Pelodiscus sinensis: one gene and its partners. The protein of the gene in region 1 interacts with the protein of each later gene in a pairwise test. Links are inferred from orthologs where the notes say so. Each region holds a gene or a part of one and is shown in the gene's direction. Other genes may lie near its edges. The genes, in order: STAC3, C2H1orf35, MAB21L3 and ZCCHC10.

Region 1 (7,714 bases):
ACTGTCAGAGATGGGAGCCTGGGCTGGACCCGCCACTGCTCTGCCCCCGCCGGGCCGTTCCTCGGCTCTGCCACATCCCCTTGCTCCGGCCCGGCGCCGCGGGGGAACGGCCGACGTCCCTGCACGGCTCCGCAATCGCGTGGAAATAAACCTCCCTGAATCTCCGTCTTAAAGCCAAAGGGCCTGCGGCTTCGCGCCCCGGTGGGGTGTTGCTGGAGTTGCCTTGGGGAAAGGAACAAGCTTTGAAGTGGCAGAATTTCTCATCTCCCCACGAGCCTCCCCCCTTCCTGCTCCAGCCAGCGGGTCCCTGCCGTCTTTGCCCCTCAGAAGGAAGCTAAATGTGGTGGGGGGAGCCCCGATTTCCTCTCCCCCCCCCCCCCACCAGGCAAAAGTTACAATGGAGGGTGGGTCCGTTGCAGCCGCAGGCCCTGATGGGTGCAGAGTGGCGCCCCACGGGCTGCAGGATCAGGGCCCACGCCGAGTGCCCGGCTGCCGGTCTCAGTCCCGCTGAGGTCCTGTCCCCAGCCAGGCGTCAGCTCCGAGCGTCCTGCAGCCTCTCCCCGAGGCACAGGGGGCCTGGCACGGCAGCGTGGGGGGGAGCCAGGCTCACCGTGGTGTGCTGAGCGGGAGGGCCGGGCATCCCAGCTCCGCAGGGCCGGGGCCTTCTCCGGGTGAGTGTCTGGCTTTGCTCTTCCAGGGCCAGACCGGGATGAAGCACGGAAACCGGAGCAAGAGACAAGCCCTCAAGTCCGCGTCCACCGACCTCGGCACAAGCGACGTAGGCAAGTGGCCACAGGCCTCGGGGGCTGCTCCCGCCCGGCGGCCCAGGCTGGAAATCCCCGATCCTGGCCACGACCCGCTGGGGTCTAGAGCAGAGAGACCCGTGGCCTGCGGAAGTGCTGCCCTTGGAGGGCATCTGCAGTGTCAGCAGAGCCCCCCTGTGCCCTGCCTGCCCCGTGCCGAGCGAAGATACGGCTGCGGCGGGCGGGAGCGTGTGCCGGGACACGCACACTGCCCAGTGCTTAAAGGGAGGGGAAGAATCGACGTGTGGGTTCTATCCCCTCCTCTGGGGGCAGAGGCACCTACTGGCTAAGGCGGCTGGGAGCCAGGACGCCTGGATTCTGTTCCCAGCTCAGGGAGGGCAGGGGAGTCTAGTGGTTAGAGCAGAGCTGTCGCTGGCTTGCTGGGAGCCCTCTGCCCCTCCCTGCTGGATCCCAGCGGCTGCCTCCGCCCGCTGCCCGAGGGCTGGCAGGGGTTGAAGTGCCCATGGGCCTGTAGGGTGGTTGCTCAGTGCCCCCCGGGAGCAGAGTCAGCACTTGCTGACAGGGGGGCCAGGCTGCAAGGCAGATGCCTGCCCCACCCCCAGACAGCTGCAGCAGTGACGCCAGGGCCCCTTTAAACCCCCCGCCCTCCCGCCCCGGGCAGTGGAAACAGAGCAGGGAGGGGCTGGGGATCTGTTACAGGCTGGTTTAATATTAGCTCAGAATTTGGTCTGCTGGGGCCCTGGGACGGCTGCTCACGCTGCCTGGCGCACGGAGCCCCAGCCGCGGCCAGGACAGGCTCCGGGCCCTGACAGCTGCAGCCTGCGGGCGCGGCCCGGGTACCGCCCGGCTCAGCTCCGTTCTCAGCCGGGTCTAACTGAAGCCCTGCGCTGGGCATTGGCTCCCCTGCCCTCTCGGGAGCCGGGTTTGCCCTGAGCCGGAGGGGCTGGGGCTGCCTGGCTGTCCGCAAAGGCCCCGTGCTACAGCCAGGTGCCCCGGCGGAGCCCCAAGTGCTCAGCCCCTCGTGCCCACTTCCCCAGGCTGGCGGGACGCTTCCCCCTCGACAGCCAGCTGGCCTCCTGCGCCTGGAGGGGACTGGCCTGGGGGCGCCAGGGGGCCTTGGGGGCTGATCACTTCCCCCTTGACAGCCAGCTGTCTGCCTGCGCCTGGAGGGGACTGGCCTGGGGGCGCCAGGGGGCCTTGGGGGCTGATCACTTCCCCCTTGACAGCCAGCTGTCTGCCTGCGCCTGGTGGGGACTGGCCTGGGGGCGCCAGGGCCTTGCATTACACAGCCCCTGCTGGGGAAGGGGGTGACCTGGGAGTGCACCAGGACTTCCCGCCTCCCACCCCTGGGACTTGACCAATTCATCCAAGCAGGGACTGAGGGCCCCCTTCCAGAGCCGGGAGTAGAACCCAGGAGTCCTGGCTCCTAGCCCCCTGCTCCAACCGATAGGCGCCACTCCCCTCCCCCATGCTAACCACTAGTCCTCCCAGCCGCTGACCCGGCCTTGTCTCCCGCAGTGCTGGGCCGGGTGCTGGAGGTGACGGACCTGCCGGAGGGCATCACGCGCACGGAGGCCGACAAGCTCTTCACTCAGCTCGCCATGGCCGGGGCCAAGATCCAGTGGCTGAAGGAGACGCGGGGACGGCGCGGCGCCGGGGGCGGCGCCGGCGACAACAACGGCCCGGCGGAGAACGGCCGCCACCCGGACCTCGCTGCCTTGTACACCGTGGTGGCCGTCTTCCCCAGCCCGCTGGCCGCCCAGAACGCCTCGCTGCGCCTCAACAACTCCCTCAGCCGCTTCCGGCTGCGCGTGGCCAAGAGAAGCTACGACCTGCGCGTGCTGGAGCGGGCCAGCTCCCAGTAGGGGCCCCCCCGGCCCCGCCCCCCCGCCCGCCCCGCGCCCGGCCCCTATTTATATGGACACAATGAAGAGATGAGAAATTGATCATTATTTTTTTTTGGAGTGGAAGAACATTTCCTCCCCCCCCCCCCCCCCGGGAACGCGCCCCCACTGCCCCCCCGGACACAGGTTGCGCTGGGTCCAGCGTTGTGCCGCGGCGGGCGCTGCGCTCACTTGCACATGCAGCGGTTGGCAGGGGCTGGTCTCTGTACAGTCTATTTAATCCAGAGGGAGCGGGGGGGTTGGGTTTGTTTTTAAATATAAAAAAAAAAAATCATCTTGTCACTTTCAAGCGGCTTCCCATTTCTGTGCCCAGCGCGAGGGGTTACCGACAGACCCCCCCCCCCCCCGCAGCTCTGGGACTCCTCCCTCCCTCTCTCCCCCCTCCCCGCAGGGCAAGCCCCCCCCACTGTACCCCTCCTGGGGTATCACCAAGGGACGTGCCCCCATCACCAGTGAGCAGGCCAAGCCGCTGCCCTGAATGGCTGTCAGGGTTGTGACCCTCAGCTTGAGAGCCCCTGGGCCCCAGCCTGGCTTCCCTCACTGCGGAAGAGGCACAGGGCCCAGCCTGGGCCTGTGCGGGGCCCGGGCTGGGCAGAACGCTGGGAGCCGAGGTGCACCAGGGAGGTAAGAGCCGTCTGCAGGGGGCGAATCACTCACCTCAGGGCTGGCGCGTGTGGGCAGCAGAGCCGGGAGTGGACCCGGGGCTCAGCAGGACGGGGCGTCCCTTGGAGGGGGCAACCAACTCATCCGAAAGGGGTCACGCCCTTAGGGGTGGGGGCGTCCTCCGTGTGTCTTCGGAGGGGGCGTCTGTGCCAGGCCCCCGCTCTGCTCTGGTCGGGGCACCACACGCCGGTCCCAGCGCGGGGGCTCCGTGCCCGGCCTAAGGATGTTACAGATCACGTCATTGACAAATCGAATAGTCGATGCATTTTGGCATCGACTATTCAATTATTCGAGAGGGCGGCGCCGCCCCTTTGTATGCCACAGCGGCGTTTCGAAGGGGCAGCGCCACACGGAGCAGCTGATCCCGGGCTCCGTGCGGCGCCGCCCCTTTGTATGCCACAGCGGCGTTTCGAAGGGGCAGCGCCACACGGAGCAGCTGATCCCGGGCTCCGTGCGGCGCCGCCCCTTTGTATGCCACAGCGGCGTTTCGAAGGGGCAGCGCCACACGGAGCAGCTGATCCCGGGCTCCGTGCGGCGCCGCCCCTTTGTATGCCACAGCGGCGTTTCGAAGGGGCAGCGCCACACGGAGCAGCTGATCCCGGGCTCCGTGCGGCGCTGCCCCTTTGAAGTCCCCCCCCTTCCTCCCCCTTTGCTACCTCCCTAGCTCCCTGCTGTGATGTGACGTAGCCCAGGCGGGACCCAGTGACCGTGGAGCGCAGCCTGTCCTAGAGCCGTGCCCTGGGCGTTCAGCCCCTGGCTCCCTGTCGGCCGGCACAGAGGCGAGGAGCCGCCGAGCCCCTTGGGAACGGCCCTGGGCGTGTTTGGAGACACGTGTCCTGCTCCCCAAGGGCTCCGGCGCCCGGCGGCGGAGTGGGGCCTGGAGCCTGCCACCCGGCAGCGGCCCCGGTCCCTGAGCACCCGGCGTTCGCCACAGGCAGGGGCACCCGGCGGCAGCAGGGACGGGGTGAGAGCCCCCAGGGACAAGGGCTGGTGGCAGCTCGAGGCCCCTGAGAGCCGCCCCCCATCAGAGCCTGCACAGGGAGGGGCTCCGGCCTGCCCCGCACGCACTGCATTGTGGGTATCGTCTGCAGCCCCAGGGGCTGAGTGCAAGCGAGAGCAGCCCCAAGGCGGCTCAGGCCCTGCGTGGGGGGGGGCGAGCGCCGAGGGGCTCCCCCCAGCCTGCCAGAGCCCCGTGTCTGCAGGGAGCCAAAGGCCGCAGGCTCACCCTGTCCCTGGTGACCGGGCCGTGGGAACCAACCCCCCCCCCCGTCCCACCTGGGGCTGGGCTGGCTGCCTTAGGCCGCGTCCACCGGCCCCACCGGGCAAGCAGCCAGCAGCTCCTGCCGGCCAGGCCGGCTCGTGTGCAAGCTCCGATTTCTCAGCGTCAGCCTCCCCGATGGGGCTCAGCTGTTCGCTCCCCTCTCGCCCTGTCAGTCCGTCTCCAGCCGCGCGCCCCGTGCAGCCCGGTGCTGGCTCGGCCGAGGGGCTCTGAGCCGGGGCCCGTCTCTGTGGGGCACTGAGCGGCTTTCGGGGAGGATTTATCCAGCGGGAGGGAGCCCGAAGCTCAGAGGTGAGTCTTACACACGCGTGTGCACCCACCCGCACTCGCCACACGCGTGTGCACCCACCCGCACTCGCCACACGCGTGTGCACCCACACACCTCTTGCTGGGTTTCTCCTCTGTCCACTGCTGCCCACCTGTCTCAGATGCCCCCTTCCCTTCCACATTGGGGCAAGGGGGCTGGCCAGCAGCCAGGATGCCCAAAGGCTCCCCCTCTCCCCGCCTTTGCTATTACTAGTGGCCTGCCCTTGCTGCCACACACACACACACACACACACACACACCCTGCTGCGACTGGCCCCCCCGCGCACACACCCTCCTGTGACTCCCCCCTCCACACACACACACACCCCCTCCTGTGACTGGCCCCCCCGCGCACACACCCTCCTGCAACCCCCCCACACACACACACCCCCTCCTGCGACTGGCCCTCCCGCGCACACACCCTCCTGCAACCCCCCCCACACACACACACCCTCCTGCGACTGGCCCCCCCGCGCACACACCCTCCTGCAACCCCCCCCCACACACACACCCTCCTGCGACTGGCCCCCCCGCGCACACACCCTCCTGTGACTCCCCCCTCCCCACACACACACACACACACCCTCCTGCAACTGGCCCCCCCCGCGCACACACCCTCCTGCAACCCCCCCCCCACACACACGCCCTCCTGTGACTGGCCCCCCCGCGCACACGCCCTCCTGTGACTGGCCCCCCCGCGCACATACACACACGCCCTCCTGTGACTGCCCCCCTGTGCACACACCCTCTTGCAACTGCCCCCCCTCTCCCCCCACACACACACGCCCTCCTGGGACTGGCCCACACGCGCACAGACCCCCTCCCGCGTCTGACACACACAGCAGGGGTAACACACCCCTGCGAGCTGGGGGGTGAGGGGCTCGTCGGACGCCAGGACTTACGCCAGTGTTCCTGGGCCGGGCGTGCGGGGGGCTGTGGGCGAGGTGCCACCAGGCACAGCAGAAAGGGGGCGACCAGGAGGTTGGGGGCCTGGTGCTGTCTCCTCTTGGGGGTGCCCGGCCCTTGCCAGTCCCCGGGCGGGTTGCTCATCGCACAAGCCTGGCACCATGGGCAGGCCCCAGGACTCCTGTGCCCGTGGATCCCTGAGCAGGGCCCAGCTGGCGCTGCCGTGGGGCAGGGGGTGCGGTGCTCGCTCATCCTGCGGCATTGTCACTTGGCTGCCGGTTAGTGGGGGTGGCTGGGGAGCCCCCGTGACCCCTCTGCTCCCCCTTGCAGCATGACGGAGAAGGAGGCGCTGGCGCCGCCGGCCTCACCCGCACCGGGAGGGAAGCCAGGGAGCGGGGTAAGTGCGCCCACAGGATCGGCCCCGGAGCCTGCCCTGTCCCCCTGCGACGGCTGCCGGATGGGGGGATGTGGCTCCCAGTGGCTGAGACCCCCCCAACGGTTTGAGATTCAGTCTGGGCTCCCCCCGCCCCAGATCGAGGGGCGCTGGCTGGGCCGGGGGTGGCTGGTGGGGCAGCCAGGCTGAGTCCCAGCGCACCCCACGTTCCCAGCCCCAGGCCAGCGCCGGGGCCTTCGATCCGATGAGTTGGGGGTGTCGGGGTTCACTCCCTGCTGGAGCAGGGCCCCACGGGGGTGAGGGGCTGAGCCCTCCCCCAGGCCGGGCAGCGCCAATTCCCTGGGGGGCCGCTGGCCCCTGCCCTTTGCTGGAGGAGGGGTAGGGTGGGGACCGGCTCATCATGCTCCTGGGCTTGGGAGCCCCACTGCTCTGTGCCCCCTGCCGCGCCGCCGCGCCCACCCCCTGCAGGGCTCTGCCCCGGCACTGAGAACTTAGCGAGGGGGTGGAGCCAGCTGGGGGTGCAGACGTGGGCAGCCAAGGCAGCTCTAGCCCCCCCCCAGAGGCCTGGGAGTGCGGAGCCCAGAGGGGCCAGGGCCCCGTCTGGGTTCCTACCACCCTCCTGGGGCAGTGGCCTCCCCACCCCGGCAGTGCCAGCCTGCAGGGCGAACGCCCGGCCCGGTGCCCTGGGGGGGTGGACTCCTGGGCTCTTTGCCCAGTGGCTGCTTCTGACTCCCCACGGAACCCTGGGGCAAGCCCCCGTCCCTGCCCGTGCCTCGGTTTCCCCCGGGGAGGGCTGTGGGTGTCTCCCAGGTGCCCGGTGTCTCCCCCCAGCTCGGGGCGCTGAAGCGGCTGCTGCAGCGGAAGCCCAAGGAGGAGCCGGCGCCCGAGCCGCAGCCCAACGGGGAGCTGGTCAGCCCCACGGGGGGGCCCATCTACTACATCTACGAGGAGGAAGAGGAGGAGGAGGAGGAGGAGCCGGAGCCGCCCCCGGAGCCCCAGAAGCCCGTCAACGACAAGCCCCACAAGTTCAAGGATCATTACTTCAAAAAGCCCAAGTTCTGCGACGTCTGCGCCCGCATGATCGTCCGTGAGTGGGGGGGGGGCAGCGTGGCTGAGGTGTGGGACGGCCCAGGAGCAGGGTCGGGCCCAGGCCGGGACTTGGCCCCCCCGGCACCTTTGCCAGTCCGGGGGGCAGTAACGGGCCCCTGCTGCCTGGCTGGGGGGGGCTGGAGGGGCCTGGCAGAGGCCCCCCCTCATGGAGACATCGGCTCCCAGGGGCTCTGTCACGGGGGGTACCGCCCCGCCTTTGCTGCTCCAAAGGCCCCGTACCAGCCCTGAACCCGGTCCCCATCCAGGCCCCACCCGCACCCCTGAGCTGTGACCCCTGGATGGGGGGGTCTCTAGCCGAGCAGGTTCCAGGGCTGGGACGTTTCATCGATTCTTCCTCCCCTCCCCCCCAGTCAACAACAAATTCGGCCTGCGGTGCAAGAACTGCAAA
Region 2 (7,847 bases), on another chromosome or scaffold:
AGTCCTGTATTTTGTTTCAGCTACATTATTTAGGGATGTGAAAAATTTTGCACCCTGTGCACAGAGTGACTGCTTCCCCTGTGTAGGTACAGCTACTGGCTCCTAGAGAAATGGATTGCCAACATCAATAAAAGATCTTTTCCCATTGATGTAGGGTGTCCTTATACTACAACAGCCTGCAATACTTCTATGGCACTCGTTATTATATTATCTGAGCACTGCACAGTCTTTTGTATATTTAGCCTCCCAACACCCCATGCAGTGGTGGTGTCATTTTACAGAGCAGGAACAGAGGCTAAGTAACTTTCCTAACTCTGTCATAGAGCAGAGACTTAAATGCAGTTGTCCCTAGTCCTAGGCTTGCGTCCTACCCTCTTACCATTCTACCTCTAACTGTCCTATCTGCTGAGATTACCAGAAAAGGGGACCAGCTCTTGTCTCTGTACCCATTAAGATTTTGTGATGAGGAATAAGTCTACTGGGAGCTGGATTGAGTCTCCCACCACCAATGCCTTTCACACCCTGAGCAGCCAGATAGTATAAGCTTTTGCAGGAAGGCCAACATGCTTCTCACCTCAGTTTTAAAGACTTTGTACATTGAGTGTAAATGAGTCACTGCAGGACTCAAGTTAACATTCAGGGGTAGTTACAGTTTTCACGGTAGTTTGAAGGAAGCAGTATTGAGGCTGTTTGGGTGTTTGAAGTGATTGCTTAAGATGTAGGCCTTCTGTGTGAGATGGCGTCCAAATCAGGTTTTGCTGTAATCTTACATTTAGATAGACTTAGAGCCTTTCTTCCCACAAAATCCCAAAGCACGTGACAAGTGATGAGAATCACTTGATCCACTGCAAAATGTGGCCACCTCAGGAGAACATGTCAGCTGTTTTCCCCCAGGCACAGGAACACAAGGGAACAGATTAAAGCAGGCAGTGTAGATCAGCATCCTAATCAGTGGAAGCTGCAGAAAAGCTAGACAAGGCTGCATGTGATTTCAGGTGCTGAAATCTGAGCAGGAGAGTGCAGTGAACAGCTCATACTTACAGAACATATCAGGGATCCTTCCATGACCAAGGGCTTCCATGTTCAGTATTTAATCAGACTTGAAGAAAATAATGTTGGCCCAGTCTGATAATTAGCCTTCTCTTGGAAAGAGAGAAGGACCCACAGTTTTCATTGACTTCAATGACAGCTGAAAAAACCCAGTAGTTTACAGAATCCGTATGCCCAAAGGATGTGTGGTGTACCAAGAGATGGACCTCAGCAACATTTGTCAGAAGCATAAATGGGTACAACGTAGTAAAGATCAAGTTCTGAGAGTATGTGGGTAGGGAGGGCTAGGACTCATAGCTGGAAGATGGAACTTAAATAATTTTGATGGGCAAAATAAGAGCTGACTTCAGGACTCCCAAACCAGTGTTTAGATTAGAGAGAGATCTCCTCCTATCCAGCCCACAAAAACATACAGCAATTATACAGTTCTGCAGACAAGCAGCAAAACTAAAATTGACGGGGAGCGAGCTATGCTGCATCTGCAACAATCCATCTTATGATTTTCACGCTGTAGCCCTTGCTCAACTATTTCCTTCTACCTTCCTTCCTTAGTTGCTACTCCTCATGTTCTGACTGTCTACACTGAGGTGGTGACCAAGCAAAAGCTTACACCCATGTGTAACTTTACTCATGTGAGTAGTCTCATTGATTGCAAAGGGGCTGAGTAAAGTGAAAGATATGTGTGCTTGCAGGACAGACTAAGGTCTATGGGAGTGCTTTGATCTGTAAGAGATCCTGGTGCTTTGTCCACATATTCATTCTGCTGATACCATTATTGGACCTAACCAAGTGAGTTATAAGATCAAGAACACATATTCCTGCGCATCCAGAAATATAATCTATGCTATCATGTGCCGAAAGTGTCCATCTGCTATGTACATTGGACAAACATCTCAGACACTTCGCCAAAGGATTAATGCCCACAAAACAGATATCAGACAAGATCACAAAGAAAAAACAGTTTCTTGCCATTTTAACCAGAAAGGACACTCTCTCAGTGACTTAACCACCTGCATTCTGCTACAAAGACCTTTTACATCTGCACTTGAAAGGGAATCCTCTGAACTGTCATTCATGTTAAAATTCGACACTCTCCAAAAAGGAATGAACAAACACTTGAACTATCTTACCCATTATCAAGATAGCTTCCCCAATTATCACCTCTAATACCATTAACTCACAAACATCCCACTCTCCCCACCTCTAATATCAATTCACAGACACTTACCTTCCTTCCTCCCCCCTCCCCCTGCATTCCCCTTCTGTTCTGAAATGTGATTTGTCCTTTTCATATGTGTTCACTTTTTTTAATTGTATCCTTTGGTATATATGGTTGTGACTATTTTCTTCCACTATTTGATCTGAGGAAGTGGGTCTGGCCCACGAAAGCTCATCATCTAATAAACCATCTTGTTAGTCTTTAAAGTGCTACATTGTCCTGCATTTTGCTTCAGCTACCCCAGACTAACACGGCTACATTTCTATCACTATGGTGCTAAATGATATGCATGTGGTATGTGCCTGTGGATGCATGAAGGCCATCAGTGCACTAAGCCAAAGATCTAATTATCTCAGTCAAGAAACAGACCTTACATTCCTTCAGGATGGCATTTAATGTAAATAGGCTGCAAACTCTGAGATAAAGGGGCTATTTTAAGACCAGCCAAGATACCCAAGCTGGGTCACTTTGACATGTAACCCTTTGGCTTCCTTGTAACTTTCATGAGTGATTTTTAAATGTGTGTGTGTGTGCTTGTTGCCTCAGTTTCCTTCTCAGTAAAATGGAAACTGAGTTACTGACCTCCTGTGCGAAGGGCTTTGAGAGCTATGGATGGCAAGTGCTCTATAAAACAACATTTTTATTAACAACCAATCTCAAAATGTTTTACAAACCCTAAGACATGAAGTCTTATAACAGCCCTCCCCTGCCCATCTCTATGTGTGTGTCTCTTTTTCACATACACACCCCTTGGCTATGTCTACATAGGCATGATTTTGCACCAGAGATATGCAAATGAGGCTAAGCATGGAAAAACAGTTTCTTGCCATTTTAACCAGAAAGGACACTCTCTCAGTGACTTAACCACCTGCATTCTGCTACAAAGACCTTTTACATCTGCACTTGAAAGGGAATCCTCTGAACTGTCATTCATGTTAAAATTCGACACTCTCCAAAAAGGAATGAACAAACACTTGAACTATCTTACCCATTATCAAGATAGCTTCCCCAATTATCACCTCTAATACCATTAACTCACAAACATCCCACTCTCCCCACCTCTAATATCAATTCACAGACACTTACCTTCCTTCCTCCCCCCTCCCCCTGCATTCCCCTTCTGTTCTGAAATGTGATTTGTCCTTTTCATATGTGTTCACTTTTTTTAATTGTATCCTTTGGTATATATGGTTGTGACTATTTTCTTCCACTATTTGATCTGAGGAAGTGGGTCTGGCCCACGAAAGCTCATCATCTAATAAACCATCTTGTTAGTCTTTAAAGTGCTACATTGTCCAGGCTTCATGAACTGGGCTTGTTTAGTTTGGAAAAAAGAAGATTAAGGGGGGACATGATAGCGGTTTTCAAATATCTAAAAGGGTGTCACAAGGAGGAAGGCGAAAATTTGTTCCTCTTGGTTTCTGAGGACAGGACAAGGAGTAATGGGCTTAAAGTGCAGCAGGGGAGGTTTAGATTGGACATTAGGAAAAAATTCCTAACTGTCAGGGTGGTCAAATATTGGAATAAATTGCCAAGGGAGGTGGTGGAATCTCCCTCTCTGGAGATATTTAAGAACAGGTTAGATAGACATCTGTCAGGGATGGTGTAGACGGAGCTTGATCCTGCCTTGAGGGCGGGGGGCTGGACTCGATGACCTCTCGAGGTCCCTTCCAGTCCTATTATTCTATGATTCTATGATTCTATGAATATCTCCGGGCCTCATTTGCATATCTAATGAGCTGCCATTTTTGTGGAAGAGGCTCTTGAGCCAGAAGGAGCTGTCTACACTGCCCCTTCTTGCGCAAGAAAAACCCTCTTGCGCAATGCCGCTACGCTGATTATTTTCAGGAATAACGGCATCGCGCAAGAGGGTTTTTCTTGCGCAAGAAGGGGCAGTGTAGAAATTCCTTCTGGCGCAAGAGCCTCTTCTGCAAAAATGGCGGCTCATTAGATATGCAAATGAGGCTCGGCAATATTCCACACTTAGCCTCATTTGCATATCTCTGGTGCAAGATCACGCCAGTGTAGACGTAGCCTTTAGCTACGTCTACATTGATATGATTTTGCGCAAGAACTCTTTTGTGGAAGAGTTCTTGTGCAAAAACTCTTCCAGAAGAGAGCATCTACACTGGCATGTGCTTTTGCGCAAGAGATGTGTTTTTGTGCAAGAGCATCCGTACCAGTGTAGCCGCTCTCTTGTGCAAGAAAGCTCCAATGGCCATTTTAACCACAGGGCTTTCTTGCGCAAGAAATTCATGTTGCCTGGCTACACTGCCCTCTTGTGCAAGAACAGTTGCGCAAAAGGGCTTATTCCTGAGCGGGAGCATCATAGTCCTTGCGCAAGAAGCCCTGAGTTCACGCATTAGACCGTCAGTGTTCTCGGCCAGGACTCCCCGCCAGTGTCGACAGGCAGCAAGCTTTGGCACGAAAGCGGCTGCTTTTGCACAAAATCATGCCAATGTAGACACAGCCCAGGTGTCTCTCACACAGTGTGTTGCAGGCACTGGTACAGACACAGAAGCCCTGTCACTCACACACACACACAGAGTTGCTGCTGCGTGTACGTCTGCGCGTCCCCTCCCCTCCCCGCGCGGCGCCACTTGGTACAGCCCATGCTCCCCCGGCTGCCCCTCGCGGTGGCGGCTCCCGCGCACGGGGCTGACGCTGCCGGAAGCGGCTGGGCAGGGGGCTGCTCGGGGAGAGCCCGCGCGCCGCAGGTATCCCGGCGGGGGGAGCGCGCGCAGCCGGCAGGGACAGTGCGCGTGCAGCCGGGGGGCGCAGGGACAGTGCGCGTGCACGGGGGGGGGCGCAGGGACAGTGCGCGTGCAGCCGGGGGGGGGGCGCAGGGACAGTGCGCGTGCAGCCGGGGGGGGCGCAGGGACAGTGCGCGTGCACGGGGGGGGGGCGCAGGGACAGTGCGCGTGCAGCCGGGGGGGGGGCGCAGGGACAGTGCGCGTGCAGCCGGGGGGGGGGCGCAGGGACAGTGCGCGTGCAGCCGGGGGGGGGGGCGCAGGGACAGTGCGCGTGCAGCCGGGGGGGGGGGCGCAGGGACAGTGCGTGCACGGGGGGGGCGCAGGGACAGTGCGCGTGCAGCCGGGGGGGGGGGGGCGCAGGGACAGTGCGCGTGCAGCCGGGGGGGGGGCGCAGGGACAGTGCGCGCAGCCGGGGGGGGGGAACAGGGACAGTGCGCGTGCAGCCGGGGGGGGGGGCGCAGGGACAGTGCGCGCAGCCGGGGCGTGGGGTGGGAGGGCAGGGACAATGCGCACAGCGATGGGGGGAGGGGGGGCAGACACAGCGTGCGCAGCCGGGGGGGGGGGGGGAACAGGGACAGTGCGTGGACAGTGGGGGGGGGCTCAGGGACAGGGCGCGTGCAGCCGGGGGGGGAACAGGGACAGTGCGTGGACAGTGAGGGGGGGCACAGGGACAGTGCGCGCAGCCGGGGTGTGGGGTGGGAGGGCAGGGACAGTGCACACAGCGATGGGTGGGGGGCAGAGACAGCGTGCGCAGCCTGGGGGGGAACAGGGACAGTGCGTGGACAGTGAGGGGGGCGCAGGGACAGTGCGCGTGCAGCTGGGGGGGGCAGGGACAGTGCGCGCAGCCGGGGCGTGGGGTGGGAGGGCAGGGACAGTGTGCACAGCGATGGGGGGGGGGGGCAGAGACAGCGTGCGCGGCCGGGGTCAGGGACAGTGTGTATGTCGGGCCCGAAAGCCACAGGCCCACCCTATGTATCCCGTGTGAAATGGAAACTGCTCCAGGCCAGGGGGTCCCTAGCAACCCTCCCCCCACTTCCAGCCCCCATGGGAGGGGAGGGGAGCCTGCCTTAGAGCCAGGCAGCTGTGGGCCTGGCACCATTGACTCGCTTCCTCTCCGCCTGCTGGCACTGGACTCGTGTGCGGCGCCAGCCCTGCGGAAAGGCCCACGAGAGGGGAGATGTGGGTTACTGTCACTGGAGGAACGCCGAGAGCTAGGAAATGCAAAGGAAGGAATGATTTAGAGCCAGGCTTCTGCACACCTTTCCCTGGGCATGTTGATTGGGAGGGAGGCTTCTGGGCTGGTCACTGCATGAAGAGAGAGAGAAAACCTAGAGGAACTCCCCAGTCAGTGAGTTTTGTTCCTTATGACTGTGGGGAAAGCAGGTTGTGTTGCTCCCGTCTCTCGTGAGGTCTTTGCTGAGGGGAACTCCTGTTTCCAGGAGTCTGCAAAGCATCTTGTGTGTGGTCATGGTGCAGTATAAAAATACCCATATTTGTACATGCTAAAATGGGGGTTAATTACGTCCCACAGTTCAGGGCACAAGCTGATTGCCATGAGGGTCAGGAAGAGCGTCTCTTCTCCCTACACAGCTGCGAAAAATCTGTCAAGGGCGCTGTGGGTGTTTTGCCTCCCTCTAGAGCAGCGGTTCCCAACCTTTTCCAGATGGGGACCCATTTTGACAATTCAGGAAGACTTGGTGACCCAGGGCAATTCAAAAAATGTGTGAATAGCTCCTTAAGAGCCACCTGGGGAGACACCTGGCCACCCTTGTGAAATGTAATGGTGACCCATATGTTGGGAAATCCTGCTCTAGAGCCCTGTGAGGCCTATGTCAGGATGCTGCCTCCACAGAACCGAGGGTCTGCCCAGGTGCACAGCTCCTGCATTCTGCTAGATGTGACCTGCTTCCTCTCATGCTCCTCCTGCTTCTGGATAGCTTGCAAAGGGCATAGATGGCTGAAGGAAGTTTTTCTTCACTCAGCGCACAGTCAACCTGTAGAACTCCTTGCCACAGGATGTTGTGAAGATTAGGACTTTAACAGGGTTAAAAAAAGAGCTAGATAGATTCATGGAGGTTAGGTCCATCAATGGCGATGAGCCAGGATGGGTAGGAATGATGTCCCTAGCCGCTGTCTGGAAATGGGTGACAGGAGAGGGATTAACATGAGGATTACTTGTTGTGTTCCCTCCCTCTGGGGCACCTGGCATTGGCCACTGTCGGCAGACAGGACACTGGGCTAAGTGGACCTTTGGTCTGACCCAGTCTGGCCGCTCTGATGTAAGGAGTCTGCCCTGGGGCACCTACTCTGAGAGACAGCCTTGCTCTTCTGTACGGCTGGGACAAGGCCACCTAGCACTCTGCGTGGCCAGTGAGATGGGTTCAGCTTTCTGCCAGTGTAAACCCAGGGGCTGAGGAAGGTCATGATGACAGAAAACAGCTTTAGCCTCTCCAACCCTGGGCCAATAAGTGGGGGTGCCCATGGGAGGTGCTCTCATTTTATCCCCGTGGAACCCCAGCCAGCCAGAAGCTGCCTCGGGGTGAATCCCCACAGAGGTATTGGTCGGAGTGGGCCGGCACAGGAAGGTGCCATTCACAGCACCCCGGGTCAGCTGCAGGAATTCATGCCGATTCTAGCAGTCAACGTCCCTCTCTTAGCGACTTTGAACATTTTCCCCCTCCATCACGATGCAGGCCTGTTGTAAGCCAGTTGGCTGTGGGGTGTGATCTGTAACCTTTGGGATGATCTTGTTGTATGTTCTATTTCTTGACGACTCAGGGCAGAGAGCTGAGCATCCCGTGGTGATCGATTTCGTTTCCAACGCA
Region 3 (7,746 bases), on another chromosome or scaffold:
CTCAAGGCTATGTCTACACTTTAGACCTATATTGGGGTACTGACTCCACACACCTAAGCAATGCAGTTATATTGGCCTAAGCCCTGCTGTAGATAGAGCCACGTAAAGAGGACGGTATCTCCCCTCGACACAGCCACCATCTCTTGCTAACATGGGTTAACTACACTAACGGGAAAAGCTCTTCTGTCAGCAAAGTACTGTATTTGGTGAAGCACTACTGCAGCATTTGAAGTGTAAACCTGCCCCACGTCCTCTCAAAGCAATGTTAACAAATCACATGGGGGGGAAAAATTTATACAGAATCAGGAGTTCTGAGCCCCTCAGTCACTGTGCTGGGTTTGCTTTCTATGCTCTGTCCAGGGCTGCTAAGTCATGCCACTCAAATTCAGCACCCCTGTCACACATTCCCATAGCTCATCCATCAAGCTGGGCTGCAATCAGGGGGTAGCAATTGATTTTGTCCCCACCTGTAGGGAGCCACTATGGTGCTTACTGTGTAGATGGTCTCTGCCACCATTCTCACTATTTCCTCCAGCTGGCTCAGTACAGGAAAGGATCAATTGGGAGAAACAAAAAGTACCATCAGCAGAACCAGGTGATTGGCAGGCAGGGACAAAAGGTCAGAGGCCTTGGTAGTACCCAATTAATCAAAAAAACATAAGACTGGCTGTACTGGAACAAATCAAAAGTCCATCTAGCCCAGTATCCTGTCTTCCAACAGTGGCCAATGCCAGATCCCCAGAGGGAGGGAACACAACAGGTAATCCTCATGGGATCCCTCCCCTGTCACCCATTTCCAGACAAACAGAAGCTAGGGACACCATTCCTACCCATCCTGGCTAATAGCCATTGATGAACCTTACCTCCATGAATCTATCAAGCTCTTGTTTGAACCCTATTAAAGTCCTCAGGCATTAGGCCCCCAGTAAAACTCCAAAGCCTCAGCTAGCATCTAGTACTCCTCACCCATTCCAGATAATTCCTAGTTATCCATTTATTCACAATACTGGAGAATCTTCCACATCTATATTCCTAGCCTGATAACCTCAGGCATCTCCAATCTTGCTTCAGCACCCTTAAACACTCACCCAGCAACCCCAGCCATCATTTTCAAAGTTTGTACAACTCCATGATTTACCCTGTCGCAGCTAGAGTAGCAAGTAACAACTATAAATTGAAGTCTATAGTTATGCAAACTCACTCATTACATAATTTGCATGACATGTTAGCAATGGAGCTCCATGAAACTTGACATGTATGTCTGTTCATATCTAAACATTGTCTAGTTTGGTTGCAAGCTATTCAGGGAAGGAGCCTCATCTGTAAATTGCCTATATATTTCAGATGAATAATAATCCACTATAATAAGATTTACTCTAAAAGCCTAGCTTAGTTGCAGAAAACTCAATATTTCTCAATGCATGTGACCCTAGACACACATCTCTTTGTGCCTGCCTCCCAAGTCTCATGATCCAATTACTTTGCAAATATTAAATGAATATTAACTAGCACACATCAAGCCCCAGTGAACATCTGCCACACATCTCTGCTCTCGCTATTATTCCTTTGGGGCAATAGCCCTTGACATTTCCTACAGAAGGAAATCCTGACAAAATCCTGCTTGAAGCAGTTGTTTGTGTGATTTGCCATTAAGCTGAAATGTGTAGGGTGCAAACATGCCTCATCACAACCAGTTAGAGACCATCGGTTGGGCTTCTTGCTGGTGTCTGCTTAACCCTCTTGCTTGTCCTTGAATGTTGCAATAGCCAGGAGGAAAGAGGAGCTGCCAATGGTAATTCCCTGATGATTAAGGGCAGAACACTCCATGTAACTCTGCTCTGCTTGGCGCGTTCTGTTGCAGTCATTCAAGAACTCACCTAATTTTTCTTAAACCAAAGGTGTTCAGATGTATTATTATCCAGTACAAATGGGTATAAATTGATTACCTATAAAACTACTGCATCCTGGGCTACCTGAGGTGGTGTTCCACTAAGCTCTAAGCCATGAAGTTTGGTCTGGACAACATGTGGATAGAATACTATATATTGACAATTGCAAGCATCATATATATAGTAGCCCAATGTCTGTGACACTGTAACGCTGAAATGCTGGCTGTTCCCTCTGGGCGGCGCTGTTGCCAGCTGACTTCTGTGCCACTCAGCCAGGCCGCCACGCAGGAGCAAGTGGCGCAAGCAGCCGTTTGGGGTCCACGCTCCCCATGCAGCACGGGGGTGCAGCGCAGAAGTCAGCTGAGCACCACGGTGGGAGGCAACAGCACCGCCCTGAGGGAACAGCCAAGGGGCGGGGCCTGGATGAGCATGTGTCTCTGACGTCAGGAAAGGGCGTCGGGTTTAAAAGGAGGAAAGCGGAGCAGATACAGAGGATGTGGAGGAGACAGAGAGGAGAATGGAGGAGGTGGAGGACAGCATGAGAGAGAGAGAGAGACGCAGCAGGAGAAGAAAAACACAGAGTGAGAGGCAGGAGGGAGAGAAGAGAAAGAGAGAGAGGCAGGAGGTGGATGAGAGCTGAGAGAGAGAGGGGGCAAGGCAGTAGGAGAAGAAGAGAGAGAGAGAGGCCGTTTGAATCGCTTGCTCCCATGCGGCGGCCCGACTGAGCAGCACAGAAGTCAGCTGAGCACCACGGCGAGAGGCGAAGTGGAGCGGGGCAATGATGTACCCGCCCATGGGGCGGGGCCTGGATGAGCATGCATCCCCGACAGAGACAGAGGAGAGTGGAGAGAGAGTGAGAGGCAGGAGGGGGAGAAGAGAAAGAGAGAGATGGGGAGAGAGGCAGAAAGTGGAGGAGAGCTGAGAGAGAGGGGGAGAGGCAGTAGGAGGAGTAGAGAGAAAGAGACATGGAGTGAGAAACCGGAGGCTCAGGAGAGAAGACTGATGTGGAGGAGAGACCTGAAAATCCCATCTTATGACGGGCTAATTGGCTAGTTCAAAAATAATGAGAGTGTTAGAAGTATGAAAGGAGGAGTTAATTTGCTTCATTTTTTGAGCTTTTAGGATTCATGTTTTCAAGCTTGTCTCTGACACTATGGATATGTCTGCACAGCAGTGTAAGCCTAGGATTAGTGGAACACAGCTGACCTACATAAAAACATAAGAATGGCTATACTGGGTCAGAACAAAGGTTCATCTAGCCCAGTAGCCTGTCCGCCGACAGTGGCCCATACCAGATACCCCAGAGGAAGTGAACAGAACAGGCAATCATCACATGATCCTGCCCCTGTCATCCATTTCTAGCTTCTGACAGACAGAGGCTTGGGACACCATTCCTGCTCATCCTGGCTAATAAGTATTGATGGACCTAACCTCCCTGAATTTATCTAGTGTTTTTTTAAATGCTGTTGAAGTCCTAGTCTTCACAACAGCCTCTGGTAACATCCTGTGTCAAGGAACCCTAGGCTTGGGCATCTACCTTGCATTTTAGCCCCAGAATTTTAAGAATTTTCTGGTCCCAATTTGACCCCACAGTTCTGACATCCACACTGTAGTGCACAGACCCAAATTAAAGTAAATATATGCCAAAGTGCCTAGACACATCCCTGACACACACACACACACACGCAAACACATGTCAATACTCTAATCTTAGTGCATCGTGGGAGAACTACTGCCCACCCTGTTTCCTACCTGTGGTGGTGCTGTTTGTACCCGTAGGGAGCACACAAGTACATATGCTGTACAATTAGTTCCTCGGAGGGCTCTCTCGCTGGAATGATAGACAGTTTGCGTTACCTGAGAATTGGGATCCCCACTTCTAGGCTGTCTCATGTTGGCAGGGCAACGCCCACGTGCACCTGCTCGGAGGAGAATTCGCACGTCAGTCTCCAGGGCTGCCAAACGATTACAATGAAACTCTGCAGTTCTTCATTTCTAAATGGGGCTGTTCAGTGCAGGTGTGTTTGACCGGCTGGTTTTTATTTGTTTTTGTTTGTTTTGAAGTGTGAGATAAAATGAAGGTATCAGCAAAAACACACAGGCACACCCCAGCCTGGCTGCTGCCAGCTACACAGTGGTGAAATGCATCCCCAGGGCTTGGGGGTGAAGTGTGCTCCAACACCCCTGGGACTCCTAATCCTTGCCCCTGTTGCACCTTGGGAAGCAGGGATAAGGGCTCCCTGGGAAGTTGTGGGAAGTTTTGGGGCTATAGTTATCATTCTCTGCCCTCATATGCATGGTGCCCTGGTGCCCCTGTATGTGCAGCCCCAGGAGGGCCTGAGAGAAGAGAGCAGAGCAGGACCAAGCAGCTGCCTTGCAGGGATGGGGGCTCCTAGCTCAGCATGGCTGAGGGAGGGATGACACTCTTGCCTATCAGCTTTGTTCCCTGCTCCAGACAAACTCCACACATAGGGTCACCATACAACCAGGTTGTCCTGGACATTATCCCGCCCCCTCCTTTCTTCTTTTTCGATCTTCCCATTTCCGTTTTTGAAATATGAACCAAAGTCCATCACTTTTCCTCGCCTGTCCTTTTCCCAACATCAACTCTGGTAGAAATGCAATTCTGGCCAGGCCTTAGCAGCAGTGTACACAGTCACTCACTTGCCAGCCTGACTTCTCTACTGCTGTCGCTAGCGGTGCGGCCTTTGGAACAGAGCAGTTGGAGCATGGTGACTGCTGGCTGGCCGCCCAGCTCTGAAGACAGGGCCACTGCAGGGAGCAGCGCAGAGTCAGGGTGGCAGAGTGTTGACTGGTGCGTCACTGAATGACATCCTGCTTGTACAGTACAACTTCAGGCATGCATCTTGCCCAGGCTTTTTTGTGGCTATTTGATGAGCAATCAACCACTGCTGAGAAAGATCCCCTCTTCAATGTGTATGGGCACAACAGGAAGGAGGCGCAGGAGGAAAGGACAAAGGTACATTTCAATGTGATTTACATTTATTTTTAAGGCTATTACACTTGTTATTTATAAATACGTTCAATAGTCAAGGTGAAAAGAAACTGTACAGTAGAAACGGTGCCAGCCTTCTAGCTCCCTTTTCCTCTGGCAGTGTCCCTTGGGCAGGAACTTGAAAGAGGGTGACCCTATCCACACAGCAATTAGGAGGAATTGGAGCCAGACATGCAGCCACCAGAAGGGCAAGAATTGGCAGAGTGTTCAGCCATACAACAACAGCACTTCCAGCCTGTAGTACAGCTTAGCTGCATCTGGGTACTCTGGGATACATTTGGAGGACTGCCAGGACCTGAGTCAAGTCAGGCCCATGTGCACACCAGAAAGCAATAGGTCTCAGTTTAACACAGGCTCAGACCAGCTCCTTAGGGTCTTAGGACACTGGGTCTGAGCCCTAGGGTAGCACAATTAGTGTGTGGACACAAATGGAGCTAGTCTTGAGCTGTGAAGCTATGCCCTATGAGAACTAAAAACCTTAAAATAAAGCTGAGATTCTCTTGTAATCACTTGATTTCAACAGCTGGGGCACACCAAATATCATGAGCACTGGCAATGCTTTGTAAGCTGTAACCAAAAGCCAAGTTGCTCCAGGAAAAGATCTTGATGATTGGTTAGGAGGCTGCTTTCCCTCTGCATGGAGACTGGGCCTCTAGGGAAGTAATACTAGGCACTGCCAAACTGCGCTTCTAGTGTGAAAAGTAATGTTGTGAGCCTCCCAGCTCAGTGCCGGGGCAGGGCTTTTGGACATGTTGAGTCTTGTCCCATGCTCTATATTGTCCCTGGCCACCTGGTGCAGTTTTGGCTGGAGCAGGTGCTGGGCTTGCTATCTCCCAAAAGTTCAAAATGGTGAGATTGGGCCCCCCAGATCATAACACTTTGAACCTTTATGTAGTATTTTTGGCCTGTCTTTCACAGTTCGACTTCCCCTTCCAAACGCAACATAGGACATTACCTCACCCGCCTTGTCTTTCCAACACCCTGTGGGTTGCACTCTCACGGTGTTGCCTGGCTGTACAGAATGAGGCATTTCTGGCCCTGCTGCAGGAGCTGTTGTGGCTGTTGATGGAGCACAGGTGTCAGCTTCTTCCCATGCCCCAACAGACTACAGGTGATCCCCAACTTACGACCACCCAACTTACAACCCCCTGCATTTATGACCACTCCGCTGCAGCCAGTGGGGCCATTCAAGCCCGGCGTGTTGGGAAATACAACTCCCAGGAGGCACAGCGGGCAGCATCTGAACTGTTGCCTGGCAAGGCCAGAGCCTTGCCCCGGGCCCTGATCAGTGCCACTGTGGGCCTGGGACATTTGCATGGCCTGTCCCTAGTGACTGCCCTGCTCCAGCCCAGCATGGCCTCTCAAGCCCCACGTGCTGGGGACTACAACTCCCAGGAGGCAAAGCAGGCCAGGAACAGAACCCCCATTTATAACATTGAGCCTATGGGAAATAAGGGTTCGATTTACAATGCTTCTCCAGGAACCAATTAGATCGTAAGTCTCGGGGTCGCCTGTAATTAGTTAATTCTGTGTCTCCCCCAAAGCCCCACTATTAATTTCATACATCCTACCAGTCATACTTCTGCCTGCTCCTCCAGCCCTCAGATCAATTCTTTCTGAAGCTCCAACAGCTCTGCACTCCCTCTCCCAGGCCCCAGGGGACTGGAGGCAGCTGTAGTGGAGGTCTCTCCGTTTCCAAGCCTGGTGTTAGGAGGAAGCACAGTTAGGGTGTGTCTAGACTACATGGCTCCGTTTTAATGCGTTGTTGCTTAAACAGTGGAAGTGGAAACACTGCAGCATCTTTAGCTGGACACAAGAAGTTTTACCATTAGCTATCCCAGTGCACTGTGATGCGTATGCAAATCTTTAAAGCCAGGTGAAACAAAGAACCCATCAGATTAAATTATTTTTCTGGCAACTGGCAAGTCCATAAAAATACCGGCCACCGGCCAGTGATGGCCCTAACCATAGTTTAGGCAGCAGCAGACAGGCCCTTCATTATAGGAGGGAGCAGCAGAAACACACTAAGCTGCTGGGCTCTTGTGGCTCCTGTCTCCCTCCACCCCCAGCCGAGGGTTCCCAATTTTGGTTGGATTTTTTCCTGGAGGTTTCATCACGTGACATAATCTTTCATTCCTGGAGACTCCAAGACAATCATGGGAGGGGGGAGGCTGGCAACCCTATCGCCTGCCCTGATGGATGGGGGAGAACGCTAGCTGCCTCTGGCAGCAGCTCTGATTGGCTACTCTCTCCCAGGAGGTGGGGCAGTGGGCCAGGCAGCCAATTAGAGGAGGGTTCCCTCCTCCTGGCCAGGTTGACTTAGCAGGTGACTGACTCAAGCAAGGGCCAATCCCCACGGTGGGTGGGGAGGCCGTTCCGCACCTTGAGCAGCAAAGGGCACCAGTAAGGGGGGGAGGGGGGGGGCACTGGTGTAGGCACCTTCTGATGACATCATCATGCCGCACCCAATCTGAGCGAGGCCCCGAGTGGCCCATGGCTCCCTGGTAAGGGGGAGGGGTGGGGCAGGCAGGCGCCTGGGGGCAGGAAATAGGTGGGGTGGCGGGAGGGGGCAGCCGCTCGCGTGACTTCGGTGCTGTCACATGGAATTAGCAGCACTCGCTCCCAGCCGCCTTCCTCTGCCCGTCACTGTTACTGAAACAGCCCCTGTGACCTCACCGGGGGTGATTTTGGTTTTTTTTTTTTTAAAGACAAAGTAAAATGCACAGAATTTTTTGCCCACGTAAACGGTTCTTATCCCAGGGCAGCCTGTGTGAAAAGCCGTTTGAAGAGCAGTTGATCACTGCTGGAGGCCGTTACTCGGCACAGTATCACAGGGGATCC
Region 4 (7,967 bases), on another chromosome or scaffold:
ATAGCTATTTTCTGCAATATCCTGGACAAACAAGTAGGTTTTCCAGGAAATATCTAGGGGAAGGTATATGCAAATACAACCCCACTGATAATGTTAAAAAACAGCCTTTTGAAGCTACAACCTGAGGAGAACCACATTATCTATAAATTACCTATTCCCATTTCAAAGACTCAAGCTGAATAAAGGAGGGACTAAACTTTTCATGAGTGTGTTTGTTCTGTGCTGTTACAAACTTGTGACCATAGAGAAGCCCCTTGGTGTAGTTGAAAGACTGTTCACATGCCGGTGCCTTTGTTGGAGATGAGTGAGTAAGGTTACTAGCATGTGTCTTGGTTCCCTTAGGGTGCGTCTAGACTGGCAAGATTTTGCGCAAAAGCAACTGCTTTTGTGCAAAAACTTGCCAGCTGTCTACACTGGCCACTTGAATTTTTGCAAGAGCACTGACTTTGTAATGTACAAAATCAGTGCTTCTTGCGCAAATACTTTCACGCTCCCACTCGGGAAAAAGCCCTCTTGTGCAAGAATACTTGCACAAGAGGGCCAGTGTAGACAGGAAAGAACTGTTTTGCGCAAAAAAGCCCCGATGGCTAAAATGACGATTGGGGCTTTCTTACGCAAAATTGCATCTAGACTGGCCACGGATGCTTTTGTGCAAAAGCACTTTTTGCGCAAAAGCATCTGTGCCAATCTAGACGCGCTTTTGCAGAAATACTTTTAACGGAAAAACTTTTCCGTTAAAAGTATTTTCGCAAATCATACCAGTCTAGACGCAGGCTTATTGTTTTTCATATGTTTTCTCAGTCTCATATGTTTTCCTATGTTTTCTCTGCTTTCAGCTTCAGAATAAATGTACTTGATTAGAAAGAGCTTGATTATTTCGAACGCCCATTTCACTGCCGCTTGTAGACGCGGGCAGTTATTCCGGGCTTATCAATTTCAAAGATGGCACCCGGCCAAGAACATGCAAATCAAGCACGGGATATTTAGATTCTGGGCTTGATTTGCAATCCCAAATGCCTACATTTGCAGCCCTATTTCGAATTAGGCTGCAAGTGTAGACATACCCGAAGAGTCCATCACTTCTTCCACTTCCCAACCTGATCCCACAGAAAGAAAGAAACCTATTTTCTTCCTTGCTCCCAGCCCCACAATCCAACACTGCCAAAAGCTCCACTGTCCTATTGTGTTCTTCAGGCTTATAATTTCTTTGTTGCATGAGCCTCTTCTCTACCATTTATATTCTATCTGGTGGTGACCAGGGCTGGCCTTACTATGAGGCAGTCGCCTCTGGTGCCAAACTATGGGAGGGAGCCACTAGGACCCAGAGTGTAGAAAATTGTATCTGCTGCTGTTTCATATGTATTCTCTCCGCTCTAGATGCACAGAGATGGTGGAGTGCTGTGCTGGAGGAAGGAGGGCAAAAGAGACATAACAGGCATGCAGGAGAAATGGGGGCGTCATTTGAGCTCCCTGCCTCAGGTGCAAGAATGTTGTGGGTTGGTCCTGGTGGTGACTTTTGGAAAATGAATTTGGTAGATGTCAGTTCAAATCCTAGGGGCAGACATTTCTGACACTAATGTCACCATCACACTTGGAACTAGTATAGGGCAGTCTTTACAAAGGAGATATGGTCAATGTCTATGGGGATTTAACCACTCTTTCACCTTTAGACTTGGTCCATTGCAGGACTATGTGTACTCTTGCTTCCCAGACTGTTCTAGTTCTGTGATAAACAGAAAACTCTAGTCTCAGTACCATTAATCTGATATCTTGCTTTCATGAGGAATATATATGCTGGAAAAATATGGAGGGGAAGAATGTTAAATCTTTGAATAGGACCACAACAAGATATTTGCCTATTCCTTTTGATGAAGTGCCATGGAGAAGCCCAAGATTTCTGAACAGTATTAGATAAAAGTGGTTAAGAGCTAGCAGCAGACACAACTGATAAATTATTGACTGTTACAAAGGTACGTTTTCATCTATCTTGTTTTAAGAAAGTGTTAGTAACTCTGTCCTGGAATCAAAAGTTCTTCCTTACTTTCACCATCAGAAGATAGATTCAGGCTAAACACCAGGTACTGGCAGTAAATTCAGAAAACAAGAGTTAAATGCCACAAAAGAGAATTACAAGTGGCATCGCAGATACTGGAGGTCAGAAATTTTAAAAAATGCCAGAGTCAGATGTGAGTAGTCACAGATTAACACAAGGTATCACCCAAAGGGAGACAGGGATTAGAAGCCAGATAAAGCCCCATATAGTATGACACGTGACGCATAGGGCAACAGCAACCAGGCATTAGACATTACAATTGAAATGTTTAGAACTTGGAACTGCCATTAGATTCAGGAATGAGTCATACAATTAACTCTGATGAGCTGGAAATGTTTATCTAACAAAACTTTTTATTAACTTATCTGCTATAGGCAACATTTAATTGGTTGCCACTGCATCAAGAGGGTCCTATTATTAATAAAATACACATTGTATGTCTGCTGCTGGCATAGGTGAGGACTCCATTCTTTGTGGGCCCTTTAGAGTGTGCAAAAAACCTGCCTTGTAATTAATCAGAATTATATTTATTTACAATCAATTATAACATTAATTATACAGGTAAATGTGGCTTATTGAAATGGTATATACCCATTCTTTGGAGAGATCATTTATTTACTATATTATGGACCCATAAATCCTGGCTCCATATTTGATGCAGGGTTTAAGCTTTTTGTTTGAAGTAGGGTACTATTCTTTCTGTTATGGCGAGATATAAAGGCTGGGCCTGATAAAAATCAACACACACATACACATTTAGGGGGGAGATAGCATTTTTTGGGAAAGTTACAAGTAAACACTTTGAACATTAGGACTCCCAATTAGTTAAATGACTCCTTTTTTAAATTTGAGGACTGTCTGGTGTATCCTTGGATCTTCCTTGTTCAAAGCCAAACTGTCTCTGCAGAGACAAACTTTCAACATTTAAATTTCCTTGTCAGTTTGTATACAGGCTAGTATGCAATTATTCTGAACTATGTGAGGAAACAATTATAAATTGTACGGTTACAGTCAAGTATCTGCCTATAGTTTAAACAATTTTTAATTGGCAGCACTTGAATCAGAGGTACTTCAACCAATAATCACTCTTCTTCCCCACCTCATTTGTATACTGCAATTCTATTGGTTGAAATGAACTGATAGAGGGAAGAACTTGTATGAGTGTCAAGAGTTCGTATTGGTAGATTTCATCTGCACACAAACCAAAGGAACACTGGATTGGCTCAGAGTTGAGGTGCATTCATCTAGTAGTTGTATATATTTAAAAATATAAACAACCTAAGAAAACCCAGCAATCCACAGGAAGGGTACACTTCATTGTGCAAAATATAGCATGTGAGTATGTGTGAAATGTGTTATATACATTTATACTGACAGTGTCTCTAGAGCCTAACAAAAACACAAAGTGGTAACACTTTGCCTAGTATCATACAGGAACTCTTAGGCCAAGCCATGTATGGAGTCAGTACAAGCACTGGGAAACAAGACCAGTTGTTATCCCTTTTGAATGGGCAGTTATCCTAGGGTTTCCAACTCTCTCGGAGAGGATGAACTGGATGCCATTACTACAAATGGCATCTAGTCTGTCCACTCAGGAGAGTTTTCAACCCTAAGTTATCCAAGAATTTGGGTCTTATTCAATTGGGAGGAGAAGTTGGTGATGGAATCGGGTGTGTGTATGATATAATCCAATCTATTTACAAAGTCCTGTTTCCTTGCACAAAGTGGAAGTCAAATAAAGGAGAGTGTCCTGGCTTAACTATCCAAGCTACTTTTTCTAGTCAGCACTTTGCCCCAAAGTGCTTTGTCATTGTTTTCCATGGGGCCATGTTCTCAGTGCTTTTTCTGACTGTGTCCATAGCACAAAGCAAGTCATATAAACCCAACTTTGTATAGGTAGTCACTAATTGCTCCTTATTTTCTGGGTACCCAACTGCAGACCCCTGGGTCTGATACACAGAAGTGCAAAGCACTCACATATGCATGTGAAATCAATGGGAGTTCTGCTTTTAACATACAAAGTTCTATATATTGCTAAGTACTTTGAAAAAATTGGGCATCTCAAATAGGGCCTAAATTATTGACCTATTGACCTTAGTCTCTGGTCCCTATTTGTAAATTGGGCATACCTTGCTTGAACCTCACAGGAGCTTTGTGAAGATAAAGAAACTGGTGTTTGTGAAGCACCTGGATGCTATAGTGATGAGCACCATAGAGGAAGCCCATAAGGAAACTAATAATCTCTGTCTTCAATGTGCCCTGTGACTACAGATCCTGACACACAAGGGTCCGTCTTGATTTGAAAAAGAACCTGATTTATAATATTTTCATAGAAGTCATTACCTGTAATTTATGTTGTACTTAGTCTGCAGAAACCCCACAGAGAAACTGATAAAATTACAGGCTTAACATTGCTCAAGGTAAACATTGGACAGGTAAACAATGCATTATACTTTTTTCAACATCAAGCGTGTTGGGATAATTGTTTGTCTTCAACTAATATTTAATGTAGAGGGCCAGGAAAGCGCCTTCATTTGTGATTATAATAGTCCTACAGCCCATAAGAAGGAGAAAGAACATAAGAATGACCATACTGGGTCAAACCAAAGGTCCATCCAGCCCAGTATCTGCGGCCAGTGAGAACACAAAAGTCACTTTATGCAGGACAGAGAAACAAGTCAAATCCATCAGTGTGAGGCTGAGAAGCATGAATAGACCAGCACAAGTCCAAAACAAGGTAGCAGCTGGTGCCTACGCATCTGTATACAAAACAAGGTAGCAGCTGGTGCCTACGCATCTCCCCAGGTCAGTGGGGAAGGGCACGGGAGAGAGTTTCACGTGGCCCAGGGAAGGGGCAGAAGCCTGGGAAGCAGGAGAGCGCGCTGGAGGACCAGCAAAGAGCCAGCCACCGGAGCTTCCGCTTCGCAGGAAGCTGCCCCGCCCGGAGAAGTAGAGACGAAGTGGAGGACGGGCCCCAAAGCGCGTCTTCTCTAGCCGCCCGAAGCCTGGCTCTTTATGGTAGACAGCGGCCGGCTTCTCCCGCAATGGGGAAGGCGGAGAAGGGCGGAATTGCCCGGCATGCAGCGCGGCGGGCCCTTCTCTGCTCGCCTCACTTCCCGGCCAGGGGCTAAGATGGCGACTCCCATGCACCGACTCATCGCTCGGCGGCAGGCGTGAGTGCGCCGGGCTAAGGGAGCGTCCCCGGAGACAGCGGCTCCCCGAGGGGCAGCCCGGGAGAAGCGGCGTCCAGCGGGCACGGGAGAGGGGGGCTGTCTTGGCGGGGAAGCCGCAGGGACGTGGGCTCTCCTGGGAGGGGAGCCGCGGGGGTCGCTGCGGCCCGTGTATGGGGAGGTCTCGCTGCCTTCACCCGTCCCGGAGAGCGTGCGGGTTGGGTGTGGAGCCAGCCCTGCGGGGGGCAGGTAGCGGCGGCTGGCCGGGCTCGCGGCGTTTGCCAGAGGAGCGCTGGTACAGGCGGCGAAGGGCAGTAAATGATGCGCGGCGTGTGTACAGGACCCCTCGTCTCCGCAGCCTCTGACGCGCAGCCCCACGGTTAAAGGGCTGTAGCGTGCGAGCAGATGGTTCTTGTTTGAAAGCGAAGCGATGCATCTGTCTGGGAGGAAGCTCTTCCCTGTCTAGCCCAACGCAAACTCTAGTCACCCTGCGCTCACCGCGAACTGGGGCAGGCCTGCTGCTCGCTGGTTTCTGAAAACAGATTCTGTATTGCAGTATGGAAGATTAAGTTGAGCATGGTACGGAGCTTCTGCAACAGGCCATTGCAGGAATAATAGAAATTTTTTACATATCGGCGTGAGATAGCTAAGTACCATTAGTTTATATATCAGAAACTTGATAAACAAAGAGGTTGCATGGCATTGGGTTTTTGTCCCTCTTCAGAAGTTGAGGATATTTTTTTTTTTTTTTTTTACACCAGAATTTGAGGTCTTGAGTGTCCAGACTAGGGTGATGGAAGAAGTAGCAAATGGATGGTATTTGTAATAATCAAGAATGAAAGCTGAATGAGAGGGGAAGGATGTCTTAGTCAAGGCTTGCCTACAGTGGCAAGTTACTGCAATGTAATTTTCTGCTTAGGGATGTGAACTCCGCCCTCCCCCCACCACACGCACCAAGTTACAGTGCTGTAAAGTACCAGTGTGGATAGTGCTGCCCTGCTTTCAGCACTATTAGCGTCTCCCTTCTTTGAGGTAGTTTACTTAAAGTGCTGAACAAGTGTTCTCCTAGCACTTTTGCTGTGACTGCACTGTGTTAAAACAGTTAAAGTGAAGACAAACTCTGATTGTTTAAAACTCCAATTTTGAATAATTAACATTAATGTCTAATCAGTCATGCATTCTTTTCACAAATTGTTAATGGTTCTACACCCAAACCCGTCAGTGAAGGTGTAAGATGTCACAATACACCTATCTGAGGGAATGTCTACACCTAAAAGTAGACAAAACAAAAATTGTTCACAGTTGCTCCCTGTTTTGACAGATCAAGTCCACATTGGGGACACCATCATCGACACTGTGAGCAATGCGCTGTGGGTATGTATCCCACAGTGCAGTGTTGTGGGAAGGCAGAGCTGAACCCTGCACACCTTGTGATTCTTTTAGTTCTCTCAGCATCCTCAGCTGATGGGGCATCATCACGAGTAGCTCTGTTTCAGTGGTGAGAGTGGAAGGGCAGATAGGTGTGGCCCTCTCCTCCCACTTTTGCAGTGGGCAGCACCGCTGAGTTTGATCTGAGCATTAGTCTCCAGGGCAACTGCTGCCTTCAGTCCAACCAGCCTCGTGTGTCAGAATTCCTCCTATCCCTGCCCTGCTTAGCACTGCCTTGGATCCCAGCCCTGCCAGGAGCCCTTGGTTTCCTCAGGCTTCCTACCTTATTGATTGATTACTCTCCATGCTGAGGAATGCTGCCTCTTTCCCCATGCAGCAGCAGTCTGCCTGATGCTGTCTTCCTATTGCAGGGCAGAACAGGAGCATTCCAATGATTTATTCTTTGTTCCCCAAACTGAATAGCTCACTGAGCTGTCAGATACTTCCCAGAGCTTTCAAAGGGGAGGCGTGCATGCCTACAAGACAGCAGAGAACAAAACACTGAACAGAGCCATCAGGGGAGGCATTGTGGGATATTGGCGGGAGCCAGTTCTATCCTGGACAAAACACACAGTAGAATCTATGTTGCCTCTTAGTATTTCTTTGTACCAGGAAAAAAGAAAAAGGTCTCTCATTGAGTGAAAGTTTTTTGATGCTGAAACTAGGTATTTTTCCCCAGTAAAAGTTGTGTGAATGTTCTCGCTGTTGTCTCTCTAAAAGGCAATTTTTAGTGATAAAACTTTGTAGTGTAGATGTATCCTGAGAGACTCATGAGGTCCCCAAGTAGGAAAAACACAGAACGTTCTAAAGTTTAAAAACAGGAAGGGCAGAAAAAATCATTTCAGGTCTCTTTTACTCACACATCTATAGTAGTGCTCACAAAAAAAGGACAAGCCTACATTTTTCTTTTTAAATTGTTCAGGTCATCTTAAAGTAACTTGACCAAAGTAGGGATGTTAAATAACATAAATGAATAGTCAATTAACCTCATGAATTCTTACTGGTTACTCGACTATTCTGTAGTCCGCAAGGTGGGGCTGGCAGTGTGTGCTCTGGCCTCGTTCCCAGGGAGTCCCTTGCCACTCTGCTCTGCTGCCTCTGTATCAGCATAGAGTACCAGGTGAGAGTTGGTCCATGAGGGGAACCAGTTTAAAAACCAGCTCCCCTCATGGACTGGTTGCCTGTTGGCCCACACTGTTGCCTATGATACAGAGGCAGCAGCATGGGGTTCCAGCAGCCCCTGTCTAAGGGGTCTGAGCTCCTGAACCCAGCACAAGCCGGAACTGAGCCGGGCTGCCTGCCCGCCTGGCTCCTAA

The links.
Region 2: the proteins of STAC3 (region 1) and C2H1orf35 interact in binary tests that used the Homo sapiens proteins (3 or more experiments, as listed by UniProt). The two-hybrid records come from large-scale screens. The link is inferred for Pelodiscus sinensis from reciprocal best matches to the Homo sapiens genes STAC3 and C1orf35.
Region 3: the proteins of STAC3 (region 1) and MAB21L3 interact in binary tests that used the Homo sapiens proteins (3 or more experiments, as listed by UniProt). The two-hybrid records come from large-scale screens. The link is inferred for Pelodiscus sinensis from reciprocal best matches to the Homo sapiens genes STAC3 and MAB21L3.
Region 4: the proteins of STAC3 (region 1) and ZCCHC10 interact in binary tests that used the Homo sapiens proteins (3 or more experiments, as listed by UniProt). The two-hybrid records come from large-scale screens. The link is inferred for Pelodiscus sinensis from reciprocal best matches to the Homo sapiens genes STAC3 and ZCCHC10.

The regions. Positions count from the first base shown.
Region 1 is NC_134729.1:3,046,059-3,053,772, forward strand, and holds the start of STAC3 (SH3 and cysteine-rich domain-containing protein 3), read left to right. Parts: upstream 1-4,714; 5' UTR 4,715-4,901; intron 4,902-6,152; 5' UTR 6,153-6,153; coding exon 6,154-6,219; intron 6,220-7,047; coding exon 7,048-7,303; intron 7,304-7,676; coding exon 7,677-7,714. Other genes in the region: R3HDM2 (R3H domain-containing protein 2), read left to right, coding at 698-782, 2,283-2,629. UniProt on the Homo sapiens protein: Required for normal excitation-contraction coupling in skeletal muscle and for normal muscle contraction in response to membrane depolarization. Required for normal Ca(2+) release from the sarcplasmic reticulum, which ultimately leads to muscle contraction.
Region 2 is NC_134712.1:252,797,940-252,805,786, forward strand, and holds the start of C2H1orf35 (multiple myeloma tumor-associated protein 2), read left to right. Parts: upstream 1-4,841; 5' UTR 4,842-4,986; intron 4,987-5,932; exon of another isoform or gene 5,933-6,370; intron 6,371-7,800; 5' UTR 7,801-7,847.
Region 3 is NC_134711.1:143,470,991-143,478,736, reverse strand, and holds the start of MAB21L3 (protein mab-21-like 3), read left to right. Parts: upstream 1-4,744; 5' UTR 4,745-4,869; intron 4,870-7,278; exon of another isoform or gene 7,279-7,409; intron 7,410-7,746.
Region 4 is NC_134727.1:24,430,355-24,438,321, forward strand, and holds the start of ZCCHC10 (zinc finger CCHC domain-containing protein 10), read left to right. Parts: upstream 1-4,958; 5' UTR 4,959-5,068; coding exon 5,069-5,226; intron 5,227-5,842; exon of another isoform or gene 5,843-6,586; coding exon of another isoform or gene 6,587-6,597; intron 6,598-7,967.